2 linked regions of the Macaca fascicularis genome follow. The protein of the gene in region 1 interacts with the protein of each later gene in a pairwise test. Links are inferred from orthologs where the notes say so. Each region holds a gene or a part of one and is shown on either strand. Other genes may lie near its edges. The genes, in order: TNNI3 and TNNC2.

Region 1 (15,683 bases):
TACCTCTGCACCATTTCTCCACACCCCACATCTTCCCCACCCACCTCCTGCCCCCTCCCGCAAGGACACAGTCTTTGGAGACCACAGGGCCCCACAGAGCCCCTTACCTAGGCTGTGTCTGAGATGCTGGGAAGCTCGTGGCTGAGCCTTGCTGAGGGCACTGAAGCTACCGGGAGTTTATAGCTGGCCCTGGGAGGCTTGGCCCCGCCCCGAAGGGAGAGGGAGGGGGAGAGAATTCCATTGCTCAAACACAAGTCTGGGAGCTCAGAGACAGCCCCGCTGCCCCTGGCTCCACACTCAGAGTCCAAAAGCCTCCGCGGGCCCCTCCCCAACCCCATGCTAACCCCATCTGCACGGCCCAGGAGCCCCGCTCCCGCCCCCACCCCACCCCCAGGTCTCATGGTGCTGCAGCTACCTCCCTTACAGCTCCCTGTGCTTTGACGTCCCCACGCCCGGCCCACAGTAGGTCCTTGGAGGACCTACTAATGACAAATGGGCTATAAGGAATGTTTTCTGTTTTCTTCTCTCCGTTCCCTCTTTCTACCATGGTCTCTTTCTGGACCCCCGTTTCTGTTGTGTCTGTGGCTCTCCATCTGTGTATCTCTGTGTGTCTGTCTCCACTTCTTAGTCTCCCCCTCTGTCTCTGTCCATCTTTCTGTCTCCCCCTCCCCACCCCCACCCTTTTGTCTGCCACCAGGATTCCATCCTGGTGACAACAGGCACTAAAGCCGGGAAGCAGGTGTGGGGAGAGGGAGGGAGAGGGGGTGTCAATTAGGGTGAAACCTCCCCTCCCTCCCCACCTTCATCTAACACTGATCTTTTTGGTGTCCCCCTCGCGCTTCCTAGCCAAGCCATGACCTTGAGTTCTGGGTTCAAGCCGGCCCTGGAGAGCAGGCCTCCTCCCCTCCCCGCCTCTCAGTACCTCTCAGTACCTCTCAGTACCTCTGCCTCTCGTGGTCCGTCTCTGTGTTTCTGTGCTTTTCCTGGGGCCTCTTGCTGGGGTCTGTCTTGGGCTCTCTCTGCATCTGTCTCTTTCTGGGTCCCTCAGTGTGTTTCTTGGCATGTGTCTCTAGGTGGTTTTGTCTCTGCATTTCTGTGGGTGTCTCTGCATGTCTGCCCCTCTCAGCGTTTGTGTCCGTGGAGGCTCACAGTTTCTCTGTGCATTTCTGTCCACCTGTGACCCCATTTCTGTCTCTTTTTGGCTCTGGGTCTCTGTGTCCATGTTCACGTCTCTGTCTTTCTAGTTCTCTCCATGTCTTAGTGCCCGCAGTTCCCGCTCTGTGGCTCTCCATTTCCCTCTCTTATAGGGTCTCCACGTCTCCGCACCTTGCTGTGATTATACCTCTGTCTCTCTTTTCTCCTTTCTTTGCACTTCCTTCTATGCATCCATGGTATTTTCTCCCTCTCTCTTTGGGTCTTTGTCTGGCTCCTTCTCTCTCTACTCCCAACTCAGTCCCTCTGTTGCCAGTATGTCTCTCTGCCTATCTGTTTCTCTGTGTGTCTCTCTCTTTGAGCTTTAATCTTGGCATCTCTGTGCACTCCACATGGGCCAGAGGTGCTGTGACAATAGAGATCAGAAGACTGATGGAATGAACTGTTTGTGGCAATAAGATACCAAATTATAAACAAGACCTGAGGCCATGCCAGGCAAGGGTTAAGTCACGCATCCCTACACTTATATAATAAACTATGTTCTAATTGCCACAAGGCTTTTCCTTTTTCTAGCAGCTAAACAAACACTGGCCTCAAGATATGCAATATTACAACAATTGCAGCCATCCATTGCCAGATGCTGACTAACTGAACCCCCTGTTCCACAACGCATAGCTACAGCATTAGTTGAATGAGAGACTGATTTCAGTAACTTTCTCCTGATAAGATACCACGGACCACAGACTGGTTCTGACTTTTGACAGAGGCTGTGCACTGGGTGCCTTCATATGCCTGCTTCATGTTTCCATACGAATGCATTCAATGGGATGCACTTAAATATTAAGCCTCCACCACCATGTAAAATGCATATTTGTCGTCAGTCACAATGGCTCACGCCTGTAATCCCAGCACTTTAGGAGGCCGAGGCTGGTGAATCACGAGGTCAGGAGTTCGAGACCAGCCTGGTCAACATGGTGAAACCCCGTCTCTACTAAAAATACAAAAATTAGCTGGGCCTGGTGGTGCATGCCTGTAATCCCAGCTACTGGAGAGGTTGAGGCAGGAGAATGGCTTGAACCCAGGAGGTGGCGGTTGCAGTGAGCTGACATTGTGCCACTGCACTCCAGCCTGGGTGACAGAGCAAGACTCCATTTCAAAAAAAAAAAAAAATGCATGTTTGCTTGTCACACATGTGTGTGTCCACCTGTCCATGAATATTCATAGCTCCTTCTATAACCAGTTGAATACGTGCACGTAGCCAACCCACTCAGCGTAAATTCCTGCCTTGCCCTTCCCTCCCTTAAAGTGCCTGCTTCTGTTTTTTGGCAAGAAGCCACGCTTCCAGTTTGCAGGTTGTGATCTGCTTCTTAAGAAACAAAGCTCCCCTCTCCAAATTCATGAACCCTGGAATTCTTTTTGATAACAGAGCCAAGAGTGCTCCACATGGGAGATCCATCTGGTCCCCGACCTGCTGTGTGACTTTGGGGGAGCCCTGCCCTCAGTTTTCCCATCTCTCTCCTGCCTAAGCCCTGGGTAATAGACATGGAGTCACTTTCAGCTCAGAGAGAAGCTTTATTCCTCAGGGCCCTCCTCAGGGCGGGGGCAGTAGGTAGGAAGACTCAGCCCTCAAACTTTTTCTTGCGGCCCTCCATTCCACTCAGTGCATCGATGTTCTTGCGCCAGTCTCCCACCTCCCGGTTTTCCTGGAGGATGGCGATAGAGTCAGAGATTAGGGTCTCTTCCTGGTCTCCAGTCTCTCAAGAATCCCTGTCTTCCCTCCAGCCTGTGGGGCCACTCTACCCTGGATGCCTGTCTAAGTGTCTAGTTCTGGAGCACTTCCCATCTTTTCAAGATAATCCCTGCCAATTTTCCCCATAACTTCCTGTCTCCCTCATGCACTTCCTGTCCCCCTCATGCACTTCCTGTCTTTCCCCAGCACTTCCTGTCTTTCCCCATGTACTTCCTGTGCCCCCATGCACTTCCTGTCCCCCATGCACTTCCTGTCTTTCCCCAGCACTTCCTGTCTTTTCTCATGCATTTCCTGTCTTTCCCCATGCACTTCCTGTCTCCCTCATGTACTTTCTGTCTTTCCTTATCCACTTCCTGTCTCCTTCCTGCACTTCCTATCTTTCCCCTACACTTTCTGTCTGCCTTATGCACTTCCTGTCTCCTTCCTTCTTATTGTAGTAGTTCATCCTTATCTGCAATTTTACTTTGTGTGGTTTCAGTAAACCATGGCCCAAAAATATTAAATGGAAAATTCCAGAAATAATTCATAAGTTTGATGGATTCTCATAGGACCTAGCCTAATGCTAGGTCACAATGCCTATGTCATCCACCTCACTTCATCTCAGCACATAGGCACTGTCATTTCACATCACAAGGAAAAGAAGGGTGACTACAGGGCCATAGGATATTTTGAGAAAGAGACCAATTCATATGAGTTTTATTACAATATGTTATAATTGTTCTATTTTACTATTATTATTATTATTATTTGAGACAGGGTCTGGTTCCCTCACCCAAGTTGGAGTGCAATCTCGACTCACTGCAGCCTCAACTTCCTGCGCTCAAGCTATCCTCTCACCTCAGACTCCTGAGTAGCTGGGACTACAGGTGTGTGCCATCATGCCCAGCTAACTTTTTTTTTTTGAGATGGAGTCTCCCACGGTTGCCAGGGCTGGAGTGCAGTGGTGAGATCTCAGCTCACTGCAACCTCTGCCTCCCAGGTTCAAGCAATTCTCCTGCCTCAGCCTCCCAAGTAGCTGGGATTACAGGCATCCACCACCACACCCAGCGAATCTTTGTATTTTTACTAGAGATGGGGTTTGACTGTGTTGGCCAGGCTGGTCTCAAACTCCTGACCTTATGATCCACCTGCCTTGGCCTCCCAAAGCGCTGAGATTACAGGTGTGAGTCACCACACCTGGCAACTTTTGTATTTTTTGTAGAGACGGGGTCTCGCCATGTTTCCCAGGCTGGTCTCGAACTCCAGAGCTCAAGCAATCTGCCCGCCTTAGCATCCCAAAGTGTTGAGATTACAGGCATGAGCCACCATGCCCAGCCTTCTTTTATTATTATTTATTGTTAATCTCTTACTGTGTCTAATTTAGAAATGAAACTTTATCATAGGTACGTAGGTTTGTATAGGAAAAAAATTATATATAGGGTTCAGTACAATCCATGGTTTCAGGCATCCACTCCTGTCTTTCCTGTCTTCTTCTTTAAGATAGGGTCTTACTGTGTTGCCCAGGCTGGAGTGCAGTGGTACAGTCATAGCTCACTGCACCCTCGATCTCATGGGCTCAAGCGATCTTCCTGCCTCAGCCTCCTGAGAAGCTGCATGCCACCACCATGACTAATCAATTTTAAAAAGAAATTTGTAGAAATTAAAACAATATCGTGGTGGTGTGCACCTGTAGTCCCAGCTACTTGGGAGGCTGAGGCATGAGAATCACTTGATCCTGGGAGGCGGAGGTTGCGGTGAGCCGAGATGGCGTCACTGCACTCCAGCAGCCGAGATGGTGTCATTGCACTCCAGCCTGGGCAGCAGAGACTCCATCTCAAAAAAAAAAAGGAAATTAAAAAAAAAAATTTTAATCTCAAAGATTACAGGCATGAGCCCCTGCACCCAGCCCTTCATGCACCTCTTTGCTCTTACATGGACTTCCTGTAGCCCTAATGCACTTCCCGTCTTCCTCTTGCATTTTGGAGGACCCCGTACTAGCTAGCTGCTTCTACCCCCAACTTCAAGCACCGTCTGCCCTCCAGCTAGGCCCCAGGGTTGTTGGTACCCACAGCCCTTCCCCTCAGCATTCTCTTTCCTGGCCTTAGCCCACACTCACCTTCTCGGTGTCCTCCTTCTTCACCTGCTTGAGGTGTGCCCGCAGGTCCAGGGACTCCTTAGCCCGGGCCCCCAGCAGCGCCTGCATCATGGCATCTGCAGAGATCCTCACTCTCCGCAGGGTGGGCCGCTTAAACTTGCCCCGAAGGTCAAAGATCTTCTGGGTCAGATCTGCGATCTGGGGGGAGGCAGTATACAGGGGTGTGGATACTCCTGCCTCCATTTCCCCCTCACCCAACTCTTCCACCCTACACTCCTTTTTTATTCTCCTTATCTCGTCTTCCAGTACCGAGGCCTCATCCAGTCTCTTCTCAGCTTAGGCTCCCAGTCTAAGCTTCTAATCCTGGAACTGAATCCCCCTCTTCATACGCTCCAGCCTCACCTCACAAAACCACTGGCATAACCTGGTCCAGCTACATACAAATCACAATTCCCTGGCCAATGCCTGAGCTAATTTACCAACATGTGATGCCCTGAACATGTTCACTAACATATTTTCTGTTTCCCAACCCATGGCCTTCCATGTGCTGTTCCCTCTGCCTACAACAGCTTTCCTTGACTATATTGTACTCATCCTTCTGCCCCAGCCCTGCCAGGCTCACAGTTGTCCTGGGTATCCTGGGATGTGCAGCCAAAAGCAGCTGCAAGGGGTCAGGCAGAGACCAAATACCAGGTATCTCACTACCCCGAAGGTACCCAAGCTGCCCATGCGTCCCACCTCTGTGATGTTCTTGGTGACTTTTGCCTGTATGTCATATCTCTCTTCATCCACCTTGTCCACACGGGCATGGAGCTGTCGGCACAAGTCCTGGAGGAGGAACGTGGTGTGTGTTTTTGGGGGAAGCCTGGAGGCCTGGAGACCTGAACCCCTGGGTCTGAGGGAGGAGGGGCTGGGGCCTGGACTCCTGGGTCTGAGGGAGGAGGGGCTGGGGCCTGGACTCCTGGGTCTGAGGGAGGAGGGGCTGAGGCCTGAACATCCGGCTCTGAGGGAGGAGGGGCTGGGGCCTGGACCCTGTCTGGGATAGGAGGGCCACATGATCCTGAAGGAGAAGGTTGGAGCCAAGACTCCAGAGACCTGCACACAAAGGGTGTTAGGGGCCGGGAGTCCCACGAACCATATAGAATTGGGTAAGGACAGACATATTGGACGCCTGGGTCCCGAGCAGAAGAGGGGACAGAGGCTGTTCTGCTGAATTCCGGGGACTAGAAACCTCGGATCCCAGGCTGGGCAGGAGTACCTGCCTTGGGAGCTGGTACCTGCAGCTCCGCGAAGCCCAGCCCAGCCAACTCCAGCGGCTGGCAGCGCGTGCTCAGAGCGCGCCCCTTCTCTCCGCGCCGCTCCTCCGCCTCTCGCTCCAGCTCCTGCTTTGCAATCTGCAGCAGCAGGGTCTGCGGAGGGGTGGGAGGGAAGCGTAGCCCACCCGGGGCATCAGGAAAAAGACCAGGCGTAGGGAACCCCGTCTGCCCTTCTAAACCCTCGAGTTTCGTCTCCACCTTTCCAAGGCCCCGCCCCACCCGGAGCAGGACTCCCCGATAAAGCCACGCCCCGAGCGGCCAAACCCCCGCCCACTCCCGCCCACCTACCCCGAAAGCCCCACCCACTCTCAAGCTCCGCCCCCTGAGCACGTGCCTGCTCCTTCCCTGTACCTCCCGTGCTCACCTTCAGCTGCAATTTTCTCGAGGCGGAGATCTTAGATTTTTTCTGCCAGGGTGAGATGGAGCAAGGAAGCATCATGGAGGGGGATCCGGAGACGACGGTGGAGGGGACCTCAAGGCACCCCCAGCAACCCCAGCCGGTCCAGATTTGGGCCCACTTCCAACTTGCGCCCTGAGTCTATGACAGGCCACGCCCCTCATTCCCATCCACCAATCCGGGTCTCTGGCTTTGGATAGGCACTTCCCATCTATCCCTAAGGAAATCCAAGGGCAACGGAACTACGCCCACAGGCGGCTGTCACCAATCCGAGTGTGACCCTTTGCAAAACTCCGCCCCTGAAGCCTCTCCGCGTAGTCCCCGCCCCCTTCGTAGCCTTGGCTCCTCCCCCCACTCTCAGGGTCTCGGGTCCTTCCAGCGCCTGTACTCGGCCCCCAGGAAGCCCCTTCCCACCTTGGCGTGTGGCTCCGTGGCGTAAGCGCGGTAGTTGGAGGAGCGGCGTCTGATTGGGGCTGGTGCAGGGCGAGGTTCCCCAGCCTGGGTTTGGAGGAGTGGGGACCCCATCACCACCAAGACCCCACCCAGCCCTTTCCGTACCGCACCCTCTGCTAGGGCTGCAGCCTCCCGCCCCAGACCCCTCACTGCAGCGCCCACCCTGGCCCTGGGGGTCCCAGCCACGCCTTAGCCTGCTGCTCTCACCGCATCGCTGCTCCTGGAAGGAGAGAAACCGGGGATGGGGGTTAGTGGTGGGCTGTGTCCTGTCTGTCTCCTAAGGGACCCCCGGAAGCCCCTCTGACCAAGAGGTCGGGGGACACCGCTTCCCCTTCCTCTGGTTCCAGGAGTCTGACTCGCAAACCCGCTTCCTTTCTTCAACCAAGAGCCCCTACCCCTACCTCACAGGCCAGGGGTCCAGCCTCTCAGCTCTGACCCCTCTTGGGAACCTGAGAGGTCGCCCCCAACTCCCACTGCCTTGGGGCATCACTCACTTATCCGCCATGCTGAGACTCAGGCCGGGAATGGCAGGAGGTGAGGACAGGGGCGTTTGGAGGGTCAGTGAGGGGACCGCCTGGGTGACCTTCAGGGTCCCAGGGACCGTCAGTCTCCTCCCGGCTGCTTGAGACTCCCCGAGGACACTGAGATAAAGGGCGAGGACAGAGACTAAATATACTGTCACCTCCTCCTCCCCTGCCCACCATGCGAGATAACGGGGCACGTGAGGGGTGGGGTGGGCCCTGCTCCAGCTGGATCACCAGCCACCTCGGGGCACAGGACTCCGGACCCTCCTCCCTCTGATCCTGGAGTCCTAGACCCCTCCTCCCTCAGACCCACAGAATGCCCAACCTCCCAGCCCCCTCCTTCCTCAGTCCTAGGACCCTGGGAGACCCCAGCCACTCCCTGAGACAAGGAGTCCAGGCCCCCAGCCCCCTCTTCCCTCAGACCCAGGAGTCCAGATCCCCAGCCCCTCCTCCCTCAGACCCAGGAGTCCAGGTCCCCAGCCCCTCCTCCCTCAGACCCAGGAGTCCAGACCCCCAGCCCCTCCTCCCTCAGACCCAGGAGTCCAGGCCCCCAGCCCCTCCTCCCTCAGACCCAGCAGTCCAGACCCCAGTCCTGTCCTCCCTAGACCCACTGGTCAAGTCCCGGAAACCCAGGAATCTGGTTTCTGGCTTCCTCTGTCCACCACTCCTGGGTCTTTCTCTCCCAGCCCTGGAGACGGACATAGGACAGGAAAGACACTTGGACACACAGAGAGGTGGACATAACTTGCTTTACTTGAACCATCTGGGTGCTGACCAGGCCCTGGTGAGGAGACACCCCAGCCCCCAGCCAGCCCAGGGTGCCTGGGAACAAGGGGGCCAAAGTCAAGGGCTTGAGACTCAGGGTCCGATCCTAGACTGGGTTCAGGGCCTCAGAAGTGGAATTTGGAATTCTGAGAGAACAATCTAGAATTCTAGAAATAGAATCTCAGAAATAGAATTTGAAATTCTATCAACACTCCCAGGGTGGGGGTGGCGGGTACTGAGTGGGAATGATTAGAATAAAATTGGGGACTCTAGCAGCCGGCTTAGGATGGTATCAGCGGGTTCTCATCCTACAACCTGACTTTGGAAGTTGGAGATAAGGGGTATCTAGGGGTTGGGTCAGACTCCAGTGTTGGAGTCTGACTCACAGTTGGACAGAGCCAAAGCCCCTTGGGGCTGAGCCAGAACCTCTGAGAGTGAACCTGGAGACTCAGAGGGCAGCTGGCAGGGCTCCCAGTGTGGGGTCCCGCCCTCCGGAGGCTGGGTCAGGCCCTCAGGGGCTGGGCTGCTGGCTTCAAGAGGCTGGGCCACGACGTCAAGGGACGGAGTTCCGGGTTCCACAGCTGGGTCAGTGCTGCCCAGAGCCGAGTCCTGGGACTTGCAGAAACGTGCGAAGGTCTCTGAGGGCCTGGCCCCGGTCTGTGGAGCAAATCCCGCTGCCTGAGCTCGCTCCCCGACCTGGGTGTTGAATCCCTGCAGCTGCTCCTGCCGCACGTCCACCAGGTACCTGCAGATGGGAAGCGCCATGTCAGGGACCCAGATTTTGATCCCCAGCCGGGATGTTCCCCGCCCTCCACCCCACTGGCTCACCGGGCTAATTCCACAATCAGGTTCCCTCCAGGTGCCACACAGGCCCCAAGCTCGGGGCTGAGAAGATGGACCACCCTGCAGTGAGGACCGAGGACAAGCCGAGACTCAGCTGAGGGAGGAGGGGGCTCTGGGAACCCAGACACTGAGGGAGGAGGGGCTGCAACACTGGAGTCTGGGTCCTGGGAAAGAAGGGAGCAGGAGGTCTGGACTCAGGGACCAGGGAGGAGGGGCTGGGTCTGGACTCCTGGGTCTGAGGGAGGAGGGGCTGGGTCTGGACTCCTGGGTCTGAGGGAGGAGGGGCTGGGGGCCTGGACTCCTGGGTCTGAGGGAGGAGGGGCTGGGGCCTGGACTCCCGGGTCTGAGGGAGGAGGGACTGGGGGCCTGGACTCCTGGGTCTGAGGGAGGAGGGGCTGGGGCTGGACTCCTGGGTCTGAGGAAGGAGGGGCTGGACTCCTGGGTCTGAAGGAGGAGGGGTTGGGGCACCCGGACGCCTGGGTCTGAGGGAGGAGGGGCTTGGGTTCCAGAGTCTGAGGGAGGAGGGGCTAGGGGCCTGGACTCCTGGGTCTGAGGGAGGAGGGGCTTGGGTTCCAGAGTATGAGGGAGGAGGGGCTAGGGGCCTGGACTCCTGGGTCTGAGAGAGGAGGGGCTGGGGCTTGGGTTCCTGGGTCTGAGGGAGGAGGGGCTGGGGGCCTGGACTCCTGGGTCTGAGGAAGGAGGGGTTGGGTGCCTGGACTCCTGGATCTGAGGGAGGAGGGCCTGGGGCTTGGGTTCCAGGGTCTGAGGGAGGAGGGGCTGGGGGCCTGATCCTGGGTCTTTGTGAGCACAGACGCCTCCTGCTTACCCACAGGCCACATAGAGGAGCTGGAACCGGCCATTGTAGCAGCTCTTGTGGTGGAGAGTCTCAGCAGAATTGAGTGGCAGGAAGTGGACAGTGAATGGTTCCGGAGTGGAGGCTGCCGGAGGAAGGGGATAGAGGGGTCACCTCTGACGGGCAGAGCCATGAGGGCAGAAAGCCAGAGAGATATATAGAGCTGGGCAGAGCTGGGCAGGCACACAGGACTTGGAGATAACACTTTTTGTCCTCTTGAAGCTTTTAAAAAAATCTTTCCTCTGAGGTGGATTCCTGGAAAATTCTGGGAAGATCAGCCCAGCAGGCAGAGGCTCACTGTACAGATCAGGCAACTGAGACTAGAGAGGGAAAGAGGGTGGGTGGCCAGGGCCACATGTGACATGCCCTGTCGGACAGACACTCAGGGAGGGCCAGGTTGGAGGATGGCTGGAAGGAGGCCCAGCGCGGATCCGGGGTGCAGGATGGTGTCCAAGGGAGGGCTGGGACCCAGCACCCTGTGAGAATATTCTTGGATAGCTTAGCCCTTTGCAGATAAGATTGAATTCTACTAGTGGAATTCAGAATCCTAAGCATGCTCTCAAAATTTAGGAAAGGGAGAGAAAGAGAAGAGAGGAAAAAACAGAATATCAAGAAGCCGTCACTTGCCCAGGCATTCCAAATCATGTCAGTCCACACTCCAGTGTGAAACAGCTGGAGGCTGGAGTCCCTGGCTTACCTGTTGTCCCTGGCCTACCCGGGACTTACCTGGAGTCCTGGCTTACCTGTTGTTATCCCTGGCTTACCTGTTATCCCTGGCTTACCTGTTGTCCCTGGCCTACCTGGGACTTACCTGGAGTCCTGGCTTACCTGTTGTTATCCGTGGCTTACCTGGAGTCCCTGGCTTACCTGGAGTCCTGGCCTACCTGGGACTTACCTGGAGTCCCTGGCTCCGGGCTTGCCTCCGAGCGCTGCTGCTCCTCCGGGTCCCCCCGGCTGGCTCTCGCGCGCCCCCAGGCGGCCACCTCGCGGAGCAGCTCTGTCACGTTGTGTTGCGTGATCTCCCCGGCCGTCTAGGGGTAGAAGGGGCGTGGCCAGACGTCGGGGCCGGGATGGCGGGGCGGGGCTTAGAACGCGGGGAGTCCTCGGTCCAGGACTAGAACTCCCGCAGCTGCTTGGAGGATGTGAAGTGGGGCGGGACCTATCCCGCGGGGATGGGGCCTGTTCCCTGAATGGAGTCGTCCCCGCCCAGCGACGGGTTGGGTCTGGAGCTGGGGCGGGGCCTGCGGTGGAGGCGGGGTCTTGCGCACCCACCCACCCCCAGCCCCACCCCCACCCCAGCCCTACCCCCAGCCCCACTCCCACCCCCAGCCCCACACCCACCCCAGCCCCACCCCCAGCCCCACTCCCACCCCCAGCCCCACTCCCACCCCCAGCCCCACCCCCACCCCCAGCCCCACCCCCAGCCCCACTCCCACCCCCAGCCCCACTCCCACCCCCAGCCCCACTCCCACCCCCAGCCCCACCCCCACCCCCAGCCCCACCCCCAGCCCCACTCCCAACCCCAGCCCCACCCCACCCCCAGCCCCACTCCCACCCCCAGCCCCACCCCCACCCCCACCCCCACCCCCAGCCCCACCCCCACCCCCAGCCCCACTCCCACCCCCAGTCCCAGCCTCGCCGCGCACCTTGACCGGCTGTCCGTTGCTGGTCCGCAGAAGGCTCTCGTCGTCGGCTTCGATGCCGAAGGCCACGAAGGGCCCTGTGGCGATGTCCCCCCAGTACCCGCGCGCTGCCACGCGCTCCCCGCGCTGGAAAAGGAGGGAGAGAGGAGGCGGGTGAGGTCGAGGCTGGGGACCCTGACTCCTGGGTCTCCGAGAAGCAGCAGTGGGCCAGGACAGGCAGTGGACACGCACGTAGCTCAGGAGGCGACCCGACGCCAGGGTCCGGTTGGGCACGTGATAGGCGCTGGAGTCCCTGAGTTCAAAGGCGACGCCTGTGTCCCGCCAGCGTCGGAACTCCTGGGTGTGAATGACTTGGGCCTGGGGTGGGGGGCAGGAAGAAGGGACCCCTCAATGAACCCACCATGGAGGGACCCCTACACCATCCTCCCTCAGACCCGGGAGTCCAGACCCCCAGCCCCTCCTCCCTCAGACCTGGGAGTCCAGGCCCCCAGCCCCTCCTCCCTCAGACCCGGGAGTCCAGACCCCCCAGGCCCTCCTCCCTCAGACCCGGGAGTCCAGACCCCAGACCCTCCTCCCTCAGACCCGGGAGTCCAGACCCCCCAGGCCCTCCTCCCTCAGACCCGGGAGTCCAGACCCCCCAGGCCCTCCTCCCTCAGACCCGGGAGTCCAGACCCCCAGCCCCTCCTCCCTCAGACCCAGGTGTCCAGACCCCAGACCCTCCTCCCTCAGACCCAGGAGTCCAGACCCCCAGCCCCTCCTCCCTCAGACCCGGGAGTCCAGATCCCAGTCCCTCCTCCCTCAGACCCAGGAGTCCAGGCCCCCAGTGTCTCCTCCCTCAGACCCAGGAGTCCAGACCCCAGCCCCTCCTCCCTCAGACCCGGGAGTCCAGACCCCAGACCCTCCTCCCTCAGACCCAGGTGTCCAGACCCCCAGCCCCTCCTCCCTCAGACCCGGGCGTCCAGGCCCCCAGCCCCTCCTCCCTCAGACCCGGGCGTCCAGGCCCCCAGCCCCTCCTCCCTCAGACCCAGGAGTCCAGACCCCCAGCCCCTCCTCCCTCAGACCCGGGAGTCCAGGCCCCCAGCCCCTCCTCCCTCAGACCCGGGAGTCCAGATCCCAGTCCCTCCTCCCTCAGACCCAGGAGTCCAGGCCCCCAGCCCCTCCTCCCTCAGACCCGGGAGTCCAGACCCCAGACCCTCCTCCCTCAGACCCAGGTGTCCAGACCCCCAGTGTCTCCTCCCTCAGACCCAGGAGTCCAGGCCCCCAGCCCCTCCTCCCTCAGACCCGGGAGTCCAGATCCCAGTCCCTCCTCCCTCAGACCCAGGAGTCCAGGCTCCCAGTGTCTCCTCCCTCAGACCCAGGAGTCCAGACCCCAGCCCCTCCTCCCTCAGACCCGGGAGTCCAGACCCCAGACCCTCCTCCCTCAGACCCAGGTGTCCAGACCCCCAGCCCCTCCTCCCTCAGACCCAGGCGTCCAGGCCCCCAGCCCCTCCTCCCTCAGACCCGGGCGTCCAGGCCCCCAGGCCCTCCTCCCTCAGAACCAGGAGTCCAGACCCCCAGCCCCTCCTCCCTCAGACCCAGGAGTCCAGACCCCCAAACCCTCCTCCCTCAGACCCGGGAGTCCAGGCCCCCAGCCCCTCCTGCCTCAGACCCAGCAGTCCAGGTCCCCAGCCCCTCCTCCCTCAGACCCAGGAGTCCAGGCCCCCAGCCCCTCCTCCCTCAGACCCGGGAGTCCAGATCCCAGTCCCTCCTCCCTCAGACCCAGGAGTCCAGGCCCCCAGCCCCTCCTCCCTCAGACCCGGGAGTCCAGACCCCAGACCCTCCTCCCTCAGACCCAGGTGTCCAGACCCCCAGTGTCTCCTCCCTCAGACCCAGGAGTCCAGGCCCCCAGCCCCTCCTCCCTCAGACCCGGGAGTCCAGATCCCAGTCCCTCCTCCCTCAGACCCAGGAGTCCAGGCCCCCAGCCCCTCCTCCCTCAGACCCAGGAGTCCAGACCCCAGCCCCTCCTCCCTCAGACCCGGGAGTCCAGACCCCAGACCCTCCTCCCTCAGACCCAGGTGTCCAGACCCCCAGCCCCTCCTCCCTCAGACCCGGGCGTCCAGGCCCCCAGCCCCTCCTCCCTCAGACCCGGGCGTCCAGGCCCCCAGGCCCTCCTCCCTCAGACCCGGGCGTCCAGGCCCCCAGGCCCTCCTCCCTCAGACCCAGGAGTCCAGACCCCCAGCCCCTCCTCCCTCAGACCCAGGAGTCCAGACCCCCAAACCCTCCTCCCTCAGACCCGGGAGTCCAGGCCCCCAGCCCCTCCTCCCTCAGACCCAGGAGTCCAGGTCCCCAGCCCCTCCTCCCTCAGACCCAGGAGTCCAGGCCCCCAGCCCCTCCTCCCTCAGACCCGGGAGTCCAGATCCCAGTCCCTCCTCCCTCAGACCCGGGAGTCCAGGCCCCCAGCCCCTCCTCCCTCAGACCCGGGAGTCCAGACCCCAGACCCTCCTCCCTCAGACCCAAGTGTCCAGACCCCCAGTGTCTCCTCCCTCAGACCCAGGAGTCCAGACCCCCAGCCCCTCCTCCCTCAGACCCAGGAGTCCAGGCCCCCAGCCCCTCCTCCCTCAGACCCGGGAGTCCAGATCCCAGTCCCTCCTCCCTCAGACCCAGGAGTCCAGGCCCCCAGTGTCTCCTCCCTCAGACCCAGGAGTCCAGACCCCAGCCCCTCCTCCCTCAGACCCGGGAGTCCAGACCCCAGACCCTCCTCCCTCAGACCCAGGTGTCCAGACCCCCAGCCCCTCCTCCCTCAGACCCGGGCGTCCAGACCCCCAGCCCCTCCTCCCTCAGACCCGGGCGTCCAGGCCCCCAGGCCCTCCTCCCTCAGACCCAGGAGTCCAGACCCCCAGCCCCTCCTCCCTCAGACCCGGGCGTCCAGGCCCCCAGGCCCTCCTCCCTCAGACCCGGGAGTCCAGACCCCCAGCCCCTCCTCCCTCAGACCCAGGAGTCCAGACCCCCAAACCCTCCTCCCTCAGACCCGGGAGTCCAGACCCCCAGCCCCTCCTCCCTCAGACCCAGGAGTCCAGGTCCCCAGCCCCTCCTCCCTCAGACCCAGGAGTCCAGACCCCAGCCCCTCCTCCCTCAGACCCGGGAGCGCAGGCCCCCAGCCCCTCCTCCCTCAGACCCAGGAGTCCAGGCCCCCAGCCCCTCCTCCCTCAGACCCAGGAGTCCAGGCCCCAGTCCCTCCTCCCTCAGACCCGGGAGTCCAGACCCCCAGCCCCTCCTCCCTCAGACCCGGGAGTCCAGGCCCCCAGCCCCTCCTCCCTCAGACCCGGGAGTCCAGACCCCCAGCCCCTCCTCCCTCAGACCCGGGAGTCCAGGCCCCCAGCCCCTCCTCCCTCAGACCCGGGAGTCCAGACCCCCAGCCCCTCCTCCCTCAGACCCGGGAGTCCAGGTCCCCAGGCCCTCCTCCCTCAGACCCGGGAGTCCAGGCCCCCAGCCCCTCCTCCTGTGCCCCTCACCCCGCGGTCATGCAGCTTCATGCGCAGGTCCCAGTCGCTGACACCGCGCCGGGCGTCGTAGCGGGAGCCCAGGTAGTGGCGCAGCCGCGAGTCCCAGAGGCGGCTCATGGGGAAGGCCTCCGGCCCTTTCTCGCCGCCCGCCCAGAAGCGGAACACGGCCTCCAGGGCGTCCCGCTCGCGGAACTGCGGGGCGAGGCACGCGTGGGGAGAGAGGGAAGCAGAGAGGGATGCAGGGAGAGCGGCTTCTAATTGACCCTCTCTTCCATCCCAGAACAGGGGAACGATTCCCCCGTTTCTCGGATGGAAAAACTGAGGTTCCGAAAGCAGAAGCCACCTGCTGCCCCCAGGCCAAATCCCACAGTGGGAGTCGGGGACTGGGACTCGAACTCCCGAACCCGCCGCCTGCTCCATCAACGCACGTC
Region 2 (15,861 bases), on another chromosome or scaffold:
GAGGCGAAGCCTTAAGCAGGGCAGTGACATGATCAGATTTGTTTTTATGTATTTTTTGAGATGGAGTTTCACTCTTGTTGCCCAGGCTGGAGTGCAATGGTGCAATATCGGTTCACTGCAACCTCTGGCTCCTGGGTTCAAGTGATTCTCCTGCCTCAGCCTCCCAAGTAGCTGGAATTACAGGCATGCGCTACCACGCCCGGCTAATTTTGTATTTTTAGTAGGGACGGGGTTTCTCCATGTTGGTCAGGCTGGTCTCAAACTCCCAACCTCAGATGATCCACCCGCTTTGGCCTCCCAAAGTGCTGGGATTACAGGCATGAGCCACCACGCCCGGCCTATGTTATTTTTTAAGACAGAATCTCACTCTGTCACCCAGGCTGGAGTGTAGTGGCGCAGTCTTGGCTCACCGCAACCTCCACCTCTTGGGTTCCAGCAATTCTCCTGCCTCAGCCTCCCAAGTAGCTAAGATTACAGGCATGTGTCTGGCTAATTTTTATATTTTTAGTAGAGAGGAGGTTTTTTCATGTTGGCCAGGCTGGTCTCAAACTCCTGACCTCAAGTGATCCGCCTGCCTCGGCCTCCCAAAGTGCTGGGATTACAGGTGTGAGCCATGGCACCCGGCCTCCATCTCTATTTTAAAATATGTATATAATTCAAAAAAAAAAAAAGATATTCAGGTAGAACCAATAACAGGTAGATGGCATCGGAGTTAAGAGCCTTGCTCCTGTGCAAACCACATAGTGCACGGCGATACTACCTAGGTTATTATCTGGGTGCCTGTGTACTTCACCTCCCTCGGCCTTAGTTTTCCAACTGTAAAGTGGAGAAAGCAACATCTGCCTCTAGGGATGTTATGTGAGTGAATGAGACAATGTCCATAAGGCACAGTATACAGTAGGCACTCAGTAAATAGTAATGTTTACCAAACCCCAGCACTGATCCTGGCTGTAAATAAAAACAGAAAAACATGAATAGGACAAAAGAGGAAGAAGAGAAAAAGACAGATGGAGAGAAAGAACTAAAGCAATGAGCAAGGTGACAATAGAGGCTGGGCTTGGTGGCTCATGCCTATAACCCCAACATTTTGGGAGGCCAAAGTGAGAGGATTCTTTGAGCTCAGGAGTTTGAGACCAGCCTGGGTAACATAGTGAGATTCCGTCTCCACTAAAAATAACAAAAACTAGTGGGGGGTCACCCATTTGTAGTCCCAGCTACTCGGGAGGCTGAGACAGGAGGATCGCTTGAGCCCAGGAGGTCAAGGCTGCAGTGAGCTGTGATCACCTACTGTATTCCAGCCTGGGCAACAGAGCGAGACCCGTCTCATTTAAAAAACAAAACAGGGCTGGGCGAGTTGGCTCAAGCCTGTAATCCCAGCACTTTGGGAGGCCAAGGAGGGTGGATCACGAGGTCAGGAGATCAAGACCATCCTGGCTAACACGGTGAAACCTCGACTCTACTAAAAATACAAAAAAAATTAGCCGGGCGTGGTGGCAGGTGCCTTGTAGTCCTGGTTACTCGGGAGGCTGAGGCAGGAGAATGGCGTGAACCCAGGAGGCGAAAAAAGCAGGCCAGGCATGGTGGCTCATGTCTGTAATCCCAGCACTTTGGGAGGCTGAGGCAGGCAGATCACCTGAGGTCAGGAGCTCAAGACCAGCCTGGCCAACATGGCGAAACCTGGTCTCTACTAAAAATACAAAAATTAGCCAGGCATGGTGGTGGGCGCATGTAATCCGAGCTATTCAAGAGGCTAAGGCACGACAGTCGCTTGAACCCAGGAGGTGGAGGTTGCAGTGAACCAAGATTGTGCCACTGCACCCCAGCCTGGGTGACAAGAGCAAAACTCTGTTAAAAAGAAAAAAAAAAAAAAATGCTTGCTATGTGCCAGGCACTGCTATAAGCACTTTGCACACACTAACTTCTCACAACCCTGTGTGTACTATCATTATCCCCATTTTACAGGTGAGAAAACTGAGGCACAGAGTGGTTTAGTTTGTCACAGGCAGTGAGCACTCACACTCAGGCATTCTGTCTCTAAAGCTAAACTACCCCCTACACTTAATTAGCTGTGATCTGATACCTGTTATATACAAATCACTACAGCAGCAAATAGCCAGTGAGGGGAGGGTTCAAGGGAAGAGATGGTATCTGAGCTGGGTCTTGTAGGTTGAAGAATCTGCCAGCTTATAAGAAAGACAAGGGCATTCCAGGGAGGGCAAACAACATGTGCAAAGTACCAAGGGCTTGAAAATGTACTCCAGGTCCCTATCAGGAATAAATTGCCCAGTGTGGCTGTGGAAAGAAAGAGAGGGAGGGAGGGAAGGAATTTGGATCTCATTCTAGAAGCAGTGAGGAGCACCGAACTACTTTCAATGGGGCAGTGGCCAGGTCAGATACTTTAGCTCACTGGTGCTGATGGCCCTCTGTAGAGTGCACTGGCTGAGACCGGGTGGAAGCAGAGATCTGGGGTCAAATGATGAGATCAGAATCTCCTTAGTGAGTGCCTCCACCCTCCCCTACCACCACCAGTACAAAGCGAGGATTAAGCACTTGGAAGAAAAGAGGAAGTAAAAGGTCAAGCAGAAACAATGCTACCTGGCATGGATGGGCACCTACTCCCCCTCTCCCCAGCTAGGGAGCCTGCAGAAGGTGGCAGCTATGACAACATCTAAGATGCCAACATTCCAGAAAAGAAGGACGGTGGGGAAGTGAGGGAGCTTCCCAGCTCCCCAGGGTTCTAGCCTCTCCCACCCCCTCACCCTACCTGCAGTCCCGGGACCCCTCCCTCCGCAGTCTGCCGGCTCACCCTGACTCAACTCCAAGCCCCTGCAGCCTCCTGGAGCCACCACTGCCCCGTCCGTCAAGCTGCGCACACCTAGCGCCAGCTGTCGGGAGCCAGCCGTGAACCCGCAGAGCCTGCCTCGGGCTCCAGGGCCCAGCTCCCTTCCGCATCTCGCTGCTCCCACATCCCGCAGCTCCGACAGCCTCTCCCGGGATCCCTGAGGGTGCTCCAGGTGGTGCCAGCTGGGATGGCGCCCTGGACCGCAACCTTTGAGACCCACTGTTCCCAGCTTTCCCCCCATTCAGGCCACGAGTTTTGGAACATTTGCTTTTATTCCTTGCAGACAAAGACCCACAAGGGGCCGTGCCTCCCTGGTGGGGACCCGGCAGGGCGGAGTCTCCCACACCCTAGGGACACGTGATCTTGGTGGAGGCGACTGACCACTCCTTACTGCACGCCCTCCATCATCTTCAGGAACTCTGTGGGAAAGGAGAGGGAGAGGGTCAGGGGTCCCACTGGGGACGCAGAGGCCAGGCCAGGGCTCCAGCCACACAGAGGGGATGACTTTTTTTTGTTTTTGTTGAGACACAGTCTCGCTAGGTCGCCAAGGTCGCCAAGGTCTGTTGCCCAGGCTAGAGTGCATTGGCACAATCATAGCTCATTGCAGCCTCAATCTCCTGGGCTCAAGCAATCCTCCCACCTAAGCCCCTGGAGCAACTGTGACCACAGGCACATACCACCACGCCCGCCTTTTTATTTTATTTGTTGTAAAGACAGGGTCTCACTATGTTGCCCAGGATGGTCTCGAACTCCTGGCCTCAAGCAATCCTCCCGCTTCATCCTCCCAAAGTTCCAGGATTTTACAGTCCTGAGCCACCACGCCCCCACTGCCTGGTCATTAATTGATAAACTGCACAGAGTCGTGGGTGCTTCTATACCCGCCCCCAGGAGACTAGGGGAACTTTTGAAGTTATGCCCAGCCCAGCCCACAAGGCCAAAGACACTGCACGGGAGCCAGGCACCAGTGCTCGCCGTCCCCTGTGGCTCCCACCCACTCTTCCCAAGCTCCCGTGGCCCTCCCTCACCGTCGAAGTCAATGCGGCCGTCATTGTTCTTGTCTCCGTCTTTCATCAGAGATTCGATCTCCTCGTCCGTCACGTGCTCCCCAGAGGCCCTGAAAATCTCAGCCAGCTCCTCCGGGTCGATGTAGCCATCTGCATTCCTTCAGGTCCAAGGGTCAGGGCAGAGCTTAGGGCCAGGGCGAGCTGCCCTGGCCACCACACTCGACGCCCTGCTTCCGCACCCCCAACCCGGGGAACCCTCCAGCGCTGCCGGCAGGCTTTGACTGCTCAGCCCCTCCCTCGGCTCCCAGGCCCCCAGCGCACCTGTCGAAGATGCGGAAGCACTCGGCCAGCTCCTCCTCGCTCTTCCCCTTCGCGTCCTCTTTCATCTGGCGCACCATCATGACCAAGAACTCCTCGAAGTCGATGGTGCCGCTGCCTGCGGGGAGCAGGTGGTGGACTGAGCCTGAGCCTAGCCACTGCCGCCTTTCCCCACCATCCCCTGCCTCTGAGGGACACCCACTCACCGTCCTCATCCACCTCCTCGATGATGGCGTCCAGCTCCTCCTTGGTGGGTGTCTGGCCCAGCATCCTCATCACCGTGCCCAACTCCTTGACGCTGATGTCCCCACCACCATCAGCATCAAACATGTCAAAGGCAGCCTTGAACTCTGCACGGGAGGGCAGAGGGCAGAGGTGAGGCCAGCTGGACTGTCAGCCTCACATCTACCCCCCCAACCCTGCCCAGAGGCCAACATGTCCCCAGCATACATCCACCCAGCCCCCAGCCTGCTGCGCCTCACTCACCAGCGATCATCTCCTCGCTGAGGTAGGACCTGGCCTCAGCCTGCTGGTCCGTCTGCAGGAGACACAGAGAAAGTCTGAGCTGAAGAGGCAGCCCCAGGGCAGTTGCACACCTGAACCCCATTCTTCCCAACCCTCACTCTCTCAGCGCTTCTTGGTCCTCCAAAAGAACAACTTCAAACTTGCCACATAATTGTGTGCCCGCACAGCACCCAATCACAGTTTTGTTTTGCCTTGCTCTGTCACACAGGCTGGAGTGCAGTAGTGTGATCATAGCTCACTGCAGCCTCAACCTCCTAGGCTCAAGCAGTCGTCCCACCTCAGCCTCCTGAGTAGCTGGGACTATAGTGCACACCATGCCTGACTATTTTTTAAGTTTTTGTAGAGACAGAGTCCCACTATATTACACAGGCTTGTTTTGAACTTCTGGGCTCGAGTGATCCTCTCACCACAGCCTCCCAAATTGCTAGGACTACAGGCTTGAGTTACTGTGCCCAGCTTCTGACCCCAGTTTTTGTTTTTGTTTTTTGTTTTTGTGACAGAGTCTCACCCTGTCGCCCAGGCTGGAGTACAATGGCGTGATCTCGGCTTACTGCAACCTCCACCTCCTGGGTTCAAGCGATTCTCCTCCCTCAGCCTCCCAAGTAGCTGGGATTACAGGCATGCGCCAACACGCCCGGCTAATTTTTGTATTTTTAGTAGAGACGGGGTTTCACCATGTTGGCCAGGTTGGTCTTGAACTCCTGACTTCAGGTGATCCACCCACCTTGGCTTCCCAAAGTGTTGGGATTACAGGCGTGAGCCACCATGGCTGGCCTGACCCCAGTTTTTTTGTTTGTTTTGTTTTGTTTTTGAGACAGAGTTTTGCTCTTGTTGCCCAGGCTGCAGTGCAATGGCACAATCTCAGTTCACCACAACTGCAACCCCCGCCTCCCAGGTTCAAGCGATTCTTCTCCCTCAGCCTCCCGAGTAGCTGGGATTACAGGCATGCACCACAATGCCCAGCTAATTTTGTATTTTTAGTAGAGATGAGGTTTCTCTATGTTGGTCAGGCTGGTCTTGAACTCCCGACCTTAAGTGATCTGCCCGCCTCGGCTTCCCAAAGTGATGGGATTACAGGCGTGAGCCACCACATGTGGCCTGTGACCCCAGTTTTGAGAAAAAGAGAGGAGACAACAAATTAAGCCCAAGGCCTTCTCACTTGTCAATTGAAGGCCAAGTCAGGAACCCCCCAGTGACCTTAGGCAAGTCACTTAGCATGCATTCATCTTTTCTCTGTAGCTTTTCAGGGATGAGATATCAGCGGTGTGAAAGGGTTTTGTAAAGGCTAGCACCATTCCAGCACTATTTTCCAGTTTTCTGTAGCTCCTAGTGGTGCCCAGTACTTTAATTGTTGCTCAATAAAATGTTTGTTCTCAAATAAATAATAATGCAACACAAAGTTATTGAGTACTTGCTGCACGTCAGGCCGCAGATCAGGCACTGGGACCACCAAGAAGAGACAGAGGACACATCATCCCGCCCCTCAGAGAACTGGCAGAGTCGGAGACTGTAAGCTTCCTTCTTAGGATTCAGTCATTGGAGAAAAGGCCCCTCATGTTGGGCCGAATGTGATGGAGGCCTTGACCTGAAAGCGAGATATCTGCGGGGGTTTCCAGGTCATACCCAAGCCAGGCCATCTGGGCCAGAGGCTTTGGATTGAGGCTGGCAGTGAGGACGGGGTGAGGCTTCCAAGGAGCTCTTCAGCCGGCTGGCTGCCGGCCCTCCTCCTTCTCCCCCTCCTTCCTCTCCTCCTCTTTCCCTGTGCCAGGAGGGCAGGCTATTTTTAGTCAGGCATGGGCAACAGCAGCTGGCCTCCGGGATCTAGTTACTCCTTGAAGTGAAGTGGGCAGGGGGATCTCAGACGAAAACAACAGCTCCAAATCAGAACCCCTCTCTAGGAGAGCAGAGTCTCTCTAACTCTGGTCTGTCATCTTCTGCCCCTTCCCATCATCCTCAGGGCTCCCAGAGCCCTGCATCTGAGCAGGCCCCACACCCTGCCCACCTCCTGTCTTCTGGACGAGGCTTTCTTCTCTCCATGATGATAGGAGGGTTTGCCAGGCTTCTGGCTCACCCCTGCCACTGGCCTGCTGGGTGACTCACTCTGACCCCTCAGAGTCCCCACTGTGTGAAGGAAACAAGCTAAGAGCTCCTCACAGGTCTATGAATGACACTGCTGGAAGTTTCCGAAGGTGAGTAGGCAGTCAGCAAGCCTTGAGGATCAATCTCTGGAATATCCCAGCCCTCCCCTTTCAAGAAAAGTCAAAGGCCTTCCTTTAAGACACCTGGGTTCCAGGAACCTCCATGCTCCAACCTCAAACATCCCAGTTACTGCCCCACAAAGCACTCAGGTCTGGCCTGAAAGAGGTCCAGAGTGCTCCCGCAAGTAAAGGCACAAAGTTCCCTCTTGTCCTTACCATGGTTGCTGGTGACCAGGACTCCTCTGCTGCAGGTCGCCTCCTTTGCACTCCGCCACCCAAAGATGCCCTGGCCTGCTCTAGCCCCCGGGATTTGTAGGGGCACCCTCCCCTCCCACCTCCCTGCTCCCCAGCACTGGAGACCCTGCCCAATCAGATCCTGGGGTCGGCGAGCCCCACCCCTCCCACAGTCTGAACCCATTACCTAATTTAGCCAAGGGCCCTTGCAGAGAAATTTAAGCCTCCAAGCAGGTGGCAGGCCTTGACGTCCTAGATTCTTGTGAGGAAGTCCCGCCCTGTTCCACCGCCTTGGAGTCCCCCCGACCAAGGAAGCACACTAGCTCCAAGATGGTAAGGACTATCAGAGTAGTAAAGAGTGAGGCAGCATGGTAAAATGGGGAGAGTACAAGCCTTGAAGTCCAAAACCCAAGATCCAAGGCCAGCCTCTGCGAGCTGTGTGACCTTGGGCAGGTAGCAGTGCCTCTCTGAGTCATTTCTTCATCTGTGGGAATGGACCTCTCTGTGGGGTCTCCCTCACAGAGAGAACATGGTAAATGGGAACCCAGGTATAAGTCACCTAGCTTGTGCCGGGTACACAGCGTTGATGCTTGGCAAGAGGAATGTCCTGTCTTTGAACCATGGTAAGGGGCAGGGGATAGAAGGAGGGGAAAGTGACAGCTAGGCCACTGTTTACTGAACCCCCACAATGTGCCACACACTGTGCTAAGCATTTTAACATGATCTCATCTAGTGCTCCTCCTATGAGATAGCAACTATTATTATCTCCATTTGACTGCAGAGATTTGTAAATCATAAAGGTCTATACTCACTCTGTCACCAAGGCTGATGTGCAGTGGTACTATTATAGCTCACTGCAGCCTCGATCTCCTGGGCTCAAGTGATCCTCCCACCTCAGCCTCCCGAGTAGCTGGGACTAGCAGTGCGCCACCACCCCTGGCTTTTTTTGTTTTCCTTTTTTGTATTTTTTGTAGAGATGGGGTTTCACCATGTTGCCCAGGCTGGTCTCGAACTCCTAGGCTCAAGGCATCCTTGAATCCTTGGCCTCCCAAAGTACTAGAATTACAGGCATGAGGCACCATGCCCACCCATGTTGATGATTCTTATTATTAATCCCGACTGGAAGGAAGTTGGGACAGACAGTCCTTGGGGGACCTGTCTAGATGGAAAAATGTATGGAGGGATGGAGGAGAGGAGGATGTGCATTTGGAGGAGAAATAATCATTGAAAGCAAAGATCCTTCTCTCAAAGTTACCTTCTCCATGGAAAGGGTGTTTGGATTCACTTTTTTGGGGTAAGGAGTAGGCAAGGGAAGGTTATTTAAGTGGTAAAGGGGTAGCTGGCCCCTTCCTAGAGCTCAGTGAAGACATCTGGTCATCTGGGGAGTAAAGGGGTGGGCAAAGCAAGTCCAGAGGGAACCCACCCTGAGAATCCACAAGGTAAAGGCTGGGCACTGGGGAGTAGGCAAGACTTGTGGACAGTGACTACGTCGACAGAAAGAGCACCAAGACAACCGATAGCAGGCTCTGGGGCCAGGAAATGGGGGCTGGACACCAAGGAATGCAGATGGACAGTGACAACTGGGCTGCCCCCTTCCCCTATATATAGACATTCCCAAGGAGAGCTCGGCAGGGCTGGGCCAAGCTAAATAAGGCCTCCCCCAGGCAGGCAGAGTGCCAAAGCCTGAGACCCATGGGATTCCAATTTAGTTTTTGGTTTTTTTTTTTCTTTTGAGACAGACTCTCACTCTGTCACCCAGGCTGGAGTGCAGTGGCGCCATCTCAGCTCACTGCAACCTCCGCCTCCTGGGTTCAAGTGATTCTCCTGCCTCAGCCTCCCAAATAGCTGGAATTACAGGCATGAGCCACCATGCCCAGCTAATTTTTTTTTTTTTTTTTTGAGACGGAGTTTTGATTTTGTTGCCCAGGCTGGAGTGCAATGGTGCGATCTCGGCTCACCACAACCTCCGCCTCCTGGGTTCAAGCGATTCTCCTGCCTCAGCCTCCCGAGTAGCTGGAATTACAGGCATGAGACACCATGCCCAGCTAATTTTGTATTTTTAATAGAGACAGGGTTTCTCCATGTTGGTCAAGCTGGTCTCAAACTCCTGACCTCAGGTGATCCGCCCACCTCGGCCTCCCAAAGTACTGGGATTACAGGTGTGAGCCACCACACTTGGCCAATTTTTGTATTTTTCATAGAGACAAGGTTTCATCGGCCAGGCGTGGTGGCTCACACCTGTAATTCCACCACTTTGGGAGGCCGAGGCGGGTGGATCACGAGGTCAGGAGATCGAGACCATCCTGGCTAAAATGGGGAAACCCCGTCTCTACTAAAAATACAAAAAATTAGCTGGGCATGGTGGTGGGCGCCTGTAGTCCCAGCTACTCGGGAGGCTGAGGCAGGAGAATGGCATGAACCCGGGAGGCGGAACTTGCAGTGAGCCGAGATTGAGCCACTGCACACCAGCCTGGGCAACAGAGCAAGACTCCGTCTCAAAAAAAAAAAAAAAAGGTTTCATCATGTTGGCCAGACTGGTCTCGAACTCCTGACCTCAGCCTCCTAAAGTGCTGGGATTACAGGTGTGAGTCACCGAGCCCGGCTTTTGTTCTCTTGTTTATTCAGGGGAATAGATAAGTCCCAAATTGCTTATGTGGCCAAGCAGGGTCCCACTGGCACTTCTAATCTCCTTCCTCCTCCCCTCCACATCGTGTTGCTGTCTGCTCTGATCAGACTTTAAAATACTGCTCTAGGCTGGGCGCGGTGGCTCATGCCTGTAATCCCAGCATTTTGGGAGGTCGAGGCTGGCGGATCACGAGGTCAGGAGTTTGAGACCATCCTGGCCAGCATGGTGAAACCCTGTCTGTACTAAAAATACAAAAAATTGCTGCCAGGCGTGGTGGTGGGCACCTGTAGTCCCAGCTACTCAGGAGGCTGAGGCAGAAGAATCACTTGAACTCAGCAGGTGAAGGTTGCAGTGAGCCACTGCAGTCATGCCACTGCACTCCAGCCTGGGTGACAGAGGGAGACTGCATCTCAAAAAAAAAAAAAAAAAAAAAAAAAAAAAAGACTGCTCTAAACACCACCTTTTATGAACCTTCAGGCCTTTGCACATGCTGTTTTTTTTTCTGCCAGAAACTCCCATCTTTCCTCTCTTCATCTGTCTACTTCCCCTATCATCTTTCTCAGCTCTAACATCACTTCCTTGGGGATGCTTCCTCCCGCTATGTCCAGGCCAGGGAGTCCAAGGTGATCTCCAGTAGTTTCCTCAATCACAGCACTGAGCACGCCTTATGATCACAACCCATTCTATGTTCTACAGATCATCACATTTCCCAGTGCTTAGCATTTGCCACGTAGCAGGAGTTCAACAGATATTATATTCTACATAAGAATAACCGAACTGGATGGTATTTAGTTCAATATAAGGGGGAACTTCCTAATAGTCATAGTTGAACAATAATGAGAACAGGCAGCCTCAGGAGGTAATGAGCTCCCTGTCACTGAATATACCCAAGCAGGAGATAGATGACCATTTCTCAGGGAGGCTGTAAGGAGAGATCCATACAGAGTTTAAAAATGGGGACAGTGGGCCGGGCGCGGTGGCTCAAGCCTGTAGTCCCAGCACTTTGGGAGGCCGAGACGGGTGGATCACGAGGTCAGGAGATCGAGACCATCCTGGCTAAAACGGTGAAACCCCGTCTCTACTAAAAAAAAAAATACAAAAAACTAGCCGGGTGAGGCGGCGGGCGCCTGTAGTCCCAGCTACTCAGGAGGCTGAGGCAGGAGAATGGCCTGAACCTGGGAGGCAGAGCTTGCAGTGAGCTGAGATCCGGCCACTGTACTCCAGCCTGGGCAACAGAGCAAGACTCCGTCTCAAAAAAAAAAAAAAAAAAATGGGGACAGTGGCTCACACTTTTAATCCTAGCACTTTGGGAGGCTGAGGCAGGTGGATCTCTTGAGCCCAGGAGTTCGATACCAGCCTGGGCAACATGGCAACATACCAGCCTGCTTCCAATAAAAAAATTAAAATAAAACAAAGAATGGTGGATGGTGGCTCATGCTTGTAATCCCAGCACTTTGGGAGGCAGAGGTAGGAGGATCTCTTCAGGCCAGGAGTTCAAGATCAGTCTTGGCAACATGCAACCCCACCTTTACAAAAAATAAAATATTAGCCAGGCATGGTGGCACATATCTGTAGTCCCAGATGCTTGGGAGGCTGAGGTGGGAGAATCACTTGAGCCCAGGAGTTTGAGGCTGCAGTGAGCTATGATCGCACCACTGCACTCCAGCCTCACAACAGAGTGAGACTCTGTCTCTGAAAGAGGCCAGGTGCGGTGGCTCATGTCTGTAATCCCAGCACTTTGGGAGGCTGAGGCAGGCGGATCATTTGAGGTCAGGAGTTCGAGACTAGCCTGGCCAAAATGGTGAAACCCCATCTCTACTAAATATACAAAAATTAGCTGGGTGTGGTGGCACACACCTGTAATTCCAGCTACTCAGGAGGCTAAGGCAGGAAAATCACTTGAACCCAGGAGATGGAAGTTGCAGTGAGCCAAGAGTGTGCCACTGTACTCCAGCCTGGGTGACAGAGTGAGACTCTGTCTCAAAAAAAAAATAAATACATAAAAATAAAAAGGAAGAAGAAAGAAGCAGAAAGAGGAAGAAGGAAGCAAAAAGAAGAAGAAATAATAATAGTGGAGAATGCGCAACCTTGAGATCTGCTAGTTCTGACTGTTTGTATGACCTAGCATAAGCCTTTCCCCTCACTAAGCCTCAGGCTACCTATCTGTAAAACGGAGGTGATAGGCCAGATTTCTGAGGGGCCCTGCTGCTTTAACAACCCATGGTTTCATGAAGACCAGCTTTGTGCCCAGACATGTAAGGCATATACCAAAGGACAAGTTATTTTTTAACCAATGGTTGGTGAATGATTGAGTGTTGAATTAATAAATGAAGTATGTCTTTTTTGTCCCAATATCTTGCCCATAAGCCGAATGAAGAGTAATTCGAGGTTTGAAATTGTGCAAACTGGCCAAGCACAGTGGCTCATGCCTGTAATCCCAGCACTTTGGGAGGCAGAGGCGGGCGGATCACTTGAGGCCAGGTGTTCGAGACTAGCCTAGCCAATATGGTGAAACCCCATCTCTACTAAAAATACAAAAATGAGCCAGGCATGGTGGCGCATGCTTGTAGTCCCAGCTACTCAGGAGGCTGAGGCAGGAGAATTGCTTGAACCTGGGAGGCAGAGGTTACAGTGAGCCGAGACCGCATCACTGTACTCCGGCCTGGGCGACAGAGCAAGACTCTGTCTCCCTCCCTAAAAAATAAATAAATAAATAAATAAAATTGCACAAACTTAGGCTTAAAATCCATCCCAGCCCCTCGCCGTGTGCGGTGGCTCACTCCTGTAATCCCAGCAGTTTGGTAGTCTGAGGCGGCGGGCGGATCACGAAGTCAAGAGATCAAGACCATCCTGGCCAACACGGTGAAACCCCGTCTCTACTAAAAATACAAAATTAGCCAGGCATGGTGGTGGATGCCTGTAATCCCAGCTACTCGGGAGGCTGAGGCAGGAGAATCACCTGAACCCAGGAGGTGGCGGTTGCGGTGAGCCGAGATTGCACCATTGCACTCCAGCCTGGGCAACAAGAGCAAAACTCCTCAAAAAAAAAAAAAAAAAAAAAAAAAAAAAAAAAATTCCCAGCCCCTCTATTTCCCAGATGTGGATCTTGGGGAAGTCACTTTACCTCAGTTTCTTCATCTTGAAAATGGACCATTAATGTCCAGTTACAGCCTCTTCCCTAGGACGCTGTGAGGGACGGATGTGACAGTAAAGTGCCTAGAGCGGGATGTAGAAAGTGGATCCTCAGAAAATAAGAACCCCAGCCTTTCTGCTCACATGGGAAGGCAGGGAGCTGAAATACTTTCTGCTTATTCTAAGGCATTTTCCCCTACCCCTCTGTCTTGCACCACCCAGAAAGGGCAGGAGCTACTTTGGAGAGATTTTGATTTTATTTGTTGTATAACTATCAAAATCTGCCCTAACAACTGATATCTAGGCTTTGTGACAGGAAGCCACAATAACTTTCTCTTGACCTGCAGCTGCCCTGAGGATAAAAGATAAAACAAAGCTGGGGAGCCGCTGAGATGATCAGGCCTGCTGCACGGGAAAAGGGCAGTACGGGCTCCAGGCCCCATACTCAGAGACCTCTGAGGGAGGCAGAGGCAGGCAGATCACTTGAGCCCAGGAATTCGAGACCAGCCTGGGCAATGTGGCCAAATCCCATCTCTACAAAAAATACAAAAATTAGCTGGGTGTGGTGGCGAACGCCTGTAGTCCTAGCTACTGGGGAGGCTGAGGTGGGAGGGATGACCTGAACCCAGGGAGACGGAGGTTGCACTAAGCCAAGATGGTGCCATTGCACTCCAGCCTAGGCAACAGAGTGAGGCTATATCTCAAAAGAAAAAGAAAGAAAGAAAGAAAGAAGGAAAGAGAGAGACAGAGAGAGAGAAAGAAAACTCTGGCAAGCTGTGTGGTTTAGCCAAGTAACTCACCCTCTCTGGTCCTCAGTTTCCCTGTTTGCCTACTTCCCATGTATGAGGTTCAAATCAGATTGTGCAATCCTGCAAACACTGTAGGAACAATAATCATTATGTAAGTGATCACTTCGTCAGCCCTTGCTCTATGCCAGGCACTGGACGAGGATTTTTTTTTTTTTTTTTTTTTTTTGAGACGGAGTCTTGCTCTGTCACCCAGGCTGGAGTGCAGTGGCCAGATCTCGGCTCACTGCAAGCTCCGCCTCCCGGGTTCATGCCATTCTCCTACCTCAGCCTCCCGAGTAGCTGGGACTACAGGCGCCCGCCACCTGAACGAGGATTCTTACAAGAGCTGCAAAATTAGTTTTAGCAGTACTGTTCCTGTTTTACATACGAGAAAATCTAGGCTCAGCGAGGTCAGATTCCAACCCAAATCACACATCTCCTGGCCTTCGTTTTCTTTCGGGAGACATGGCCTCCCTAATATCGCATAATTACTTTGTGAAGTTAAAGAGCGTTGGGTGGAAATTAGTGGGGCAGATTGGAGATGACGTGGGTGGGGTGGGAGGATTCCAGGAGGGTATGCGCCTGGCCGGACTGGAATGATTTTGCGGCAGGCCTGGGACTCCCTCAGGCCGACCTAGGCTTCCCAAGTCCCTCCTAGAGCCAAGGGCCCGGGATTCTCCGGCGGCTCGGGCGAGCGGGCGGGGCAGGAGGCGGGGCGGCAGCAGGAAGCGGCCCGAGCGGCGCTCGGAGCGGCCTGAGCCCAGCGGAGCCCTGCAGAGCCCGGCCGGCCTCCATGGGCTGCGGGGGGCTGCACCCCGACCCTTGGGGCGCGGCACGCCCCTGAATGCACCGTGGGGCGCAGGAGGTAGAGGCGCACGAGGCGGCGCAAGAGACGTTGGGAGGGTCCCGAGCCCCTCCGGGCAGGAACGCGGTCCTAGGCTAAGTGGGTTGCGGGGAAAGCGACGCGAGCTGGGTCCCCTGGTTCGCAGGACCTCGGACTGCCAGGGGGTAGGGCCTCCGCGCGCCCCTCCCTCTCCGGTTGGGCCCCGCCCCTCCTCCTCCTGAGCCAGGCTGGGGTCCTCCTCCTCCCGGACCTGGGACACAGCGTCGCGCGCTCCCCCCAGGGTGCCATGGCCTCCCGGCTCCTGCACCGGCTGCGGCACGCCTTGGCAGGCGACGGCCCCGGGGAGGCGGCGGCCACCCCAGAGGCCGAGCAGTTTCCGGAGAGCTCAGAGCTGGAGGACGACGACGCCGAGGGCCTGTCCTCCCGACTCAGCGGCACCCTCAGCTTCACCAGCGCCGAGGACGACGAGGACGACGAGGACGAGGACGAGGACGACGCGGAGGCTGGCCCTGACCCGCTGCCCCTCGGGGATGGGACGTCAGGAGAAGACGCAGGCGAGTGCAGGAGGACGGAGGCGGGAACCCTGGGGCTGGATTAGGCCTCCATCCCTGCTGCGTTCCCAGAGCATCCAGGGCGCTGAGTTGATCCAGCTGAAACTCCCACACTTCTTAAAGAGCCTGGGCCACCTCTTGGTTATGTGACCTTGAGAGAGTCTTAACCCCCCTCTGAGCCAAGTTTTCCCTTGTGTCAAGTGGGAGAACTCACTCTCATCTCAGAATTGGCTGCGGGCATTAAATGTACAGGGCCTGGGATCCGAATGGAAATGATGTATTAGCGATATTTTGAGGGTGGAGCTATTAATTTAGCCCCTACTGTCTGCCAGGCACGGTGTTTGGCTTCTCGGTGCCTCTCTGTCACTCAGTTTCCATTTCTGTAAAATGGGGGTAAATCCTGCCTCACATTAGGAGGATGAGTGAGGCCACGGCAGTGATTGATGTCGACCCTGGCCCTAGGCCCATTGATACGACTGGTCATGTGTCTGCAGAACGGAGCCCCCAACCTGATGGGCAGCGGGGCAGTCAGCTCCTGGCGCGGCAGCTGCAGGATTTCTGGAAGAAGTCCCGGAACACCCTGACACCCCAGCGGCTGCTCTTCGAAGTGACCAGCGCTAACGTTGTCAAGGACCCGCCCTCCAAGTACGTGGTGAGTGAGGGTCCAGAACCCCTGGGCTGTGAGTCTAGAAGTATTGCTACGAGCAAGTAGGGAAGACCCCAACTTCCTGAGGGGTCTATGCAGTTATAAATGGCTACCTCGTTTACAAATGGGGAAACTGAGGTCAGAAAGGGGATG

What was found.
Region 2: the proteins of TNNI3 (region 1) and TNNC2 interact in binary tests that used the Homo sapiens proteins (3 or more experiments, as listed by UniProt). The two-hybrid records come from large-scale screens. The link is inferred for Macaca fascicularis from reciprocal best matches to the Homo sapiens genes TNNI3 and TNNC2.

What each region holds. Positions count from the first base shown.
Region 1 is NC_088393.1:63,021,998-63,037,680, forward strand, and holds TNNI3 (troponin I, cardiac muscle), read right to left. Parts: upstream 7,786-15,683; 5' UTR 7,648-7,785; coding exon 7,637-7,647; intron 7,363-7,636; coding exon 7,350-7,362; intron 7,188-7,349; coding exon 7,104-7,187; intron 6,699-7,103; coding exon 6,657-6,698; intron 6,386-6,656; coding exon 6,254-6,385; intron 5,805-6,253; coding exon 5,715-5,804; intron 5,175-5,714; coding exon 4,998-5,174; intron 2,856-4,997; coding exon 2,772-2,855; 3' UTR 2,705-2,771; downstream 1-2,704. Other genes in the region: DNAAF3 (dynein axonemal assembly factor 3), read right to left, coding at 8,789-9,176, 9,260-9,334, 10,101-10,212, 11,023-11,158, 11,774-11,896, 12,002-12,127, 15,262-15,444. UniProt on the Homo sapiens protein: Troponin I is the inhibitory subunit of troponin, the thin filament regulatory complex which confers calcium-sensitivity to striated muscle actomyosin ATPase activity.
Region 2 is NC_088384.1:101,855,204-101,871,064, forward strand, and holds TNNC2 (troponin C, skeletal muscle), read right to left. Parts: upstream 7,171-15,861; 5' UTR 7,107-7,170; coding exon 7,104-7,106; intron 4,703-7,103; coding exon 4,651-4,702; intron 4,515-4,650; coding exon 4,371-4,514; intron 4,283-4,370; coding exon 4,168-4,282; intron 4,005-4,167; coding exon 3,868-4,004; intron 3,262-3,867; coding exon 3,230-3,261; 3' UTR 3,096-3,229; downstream 1-3,095. Other genes in the region: SNX21 (sorting nexin-21), read left to right, coding at 14,512-14,532, 14,792-15,065, 15,557-15,714. UniProt on the Homo sapiens protein: Troponin is the central regulatory protein of striated muscle contraction. Tn consists of three components: Tn-I which is the inhibitor of actomyosin ATPase, Tn-T which contains the binding site for tropomyosin and Tn-C.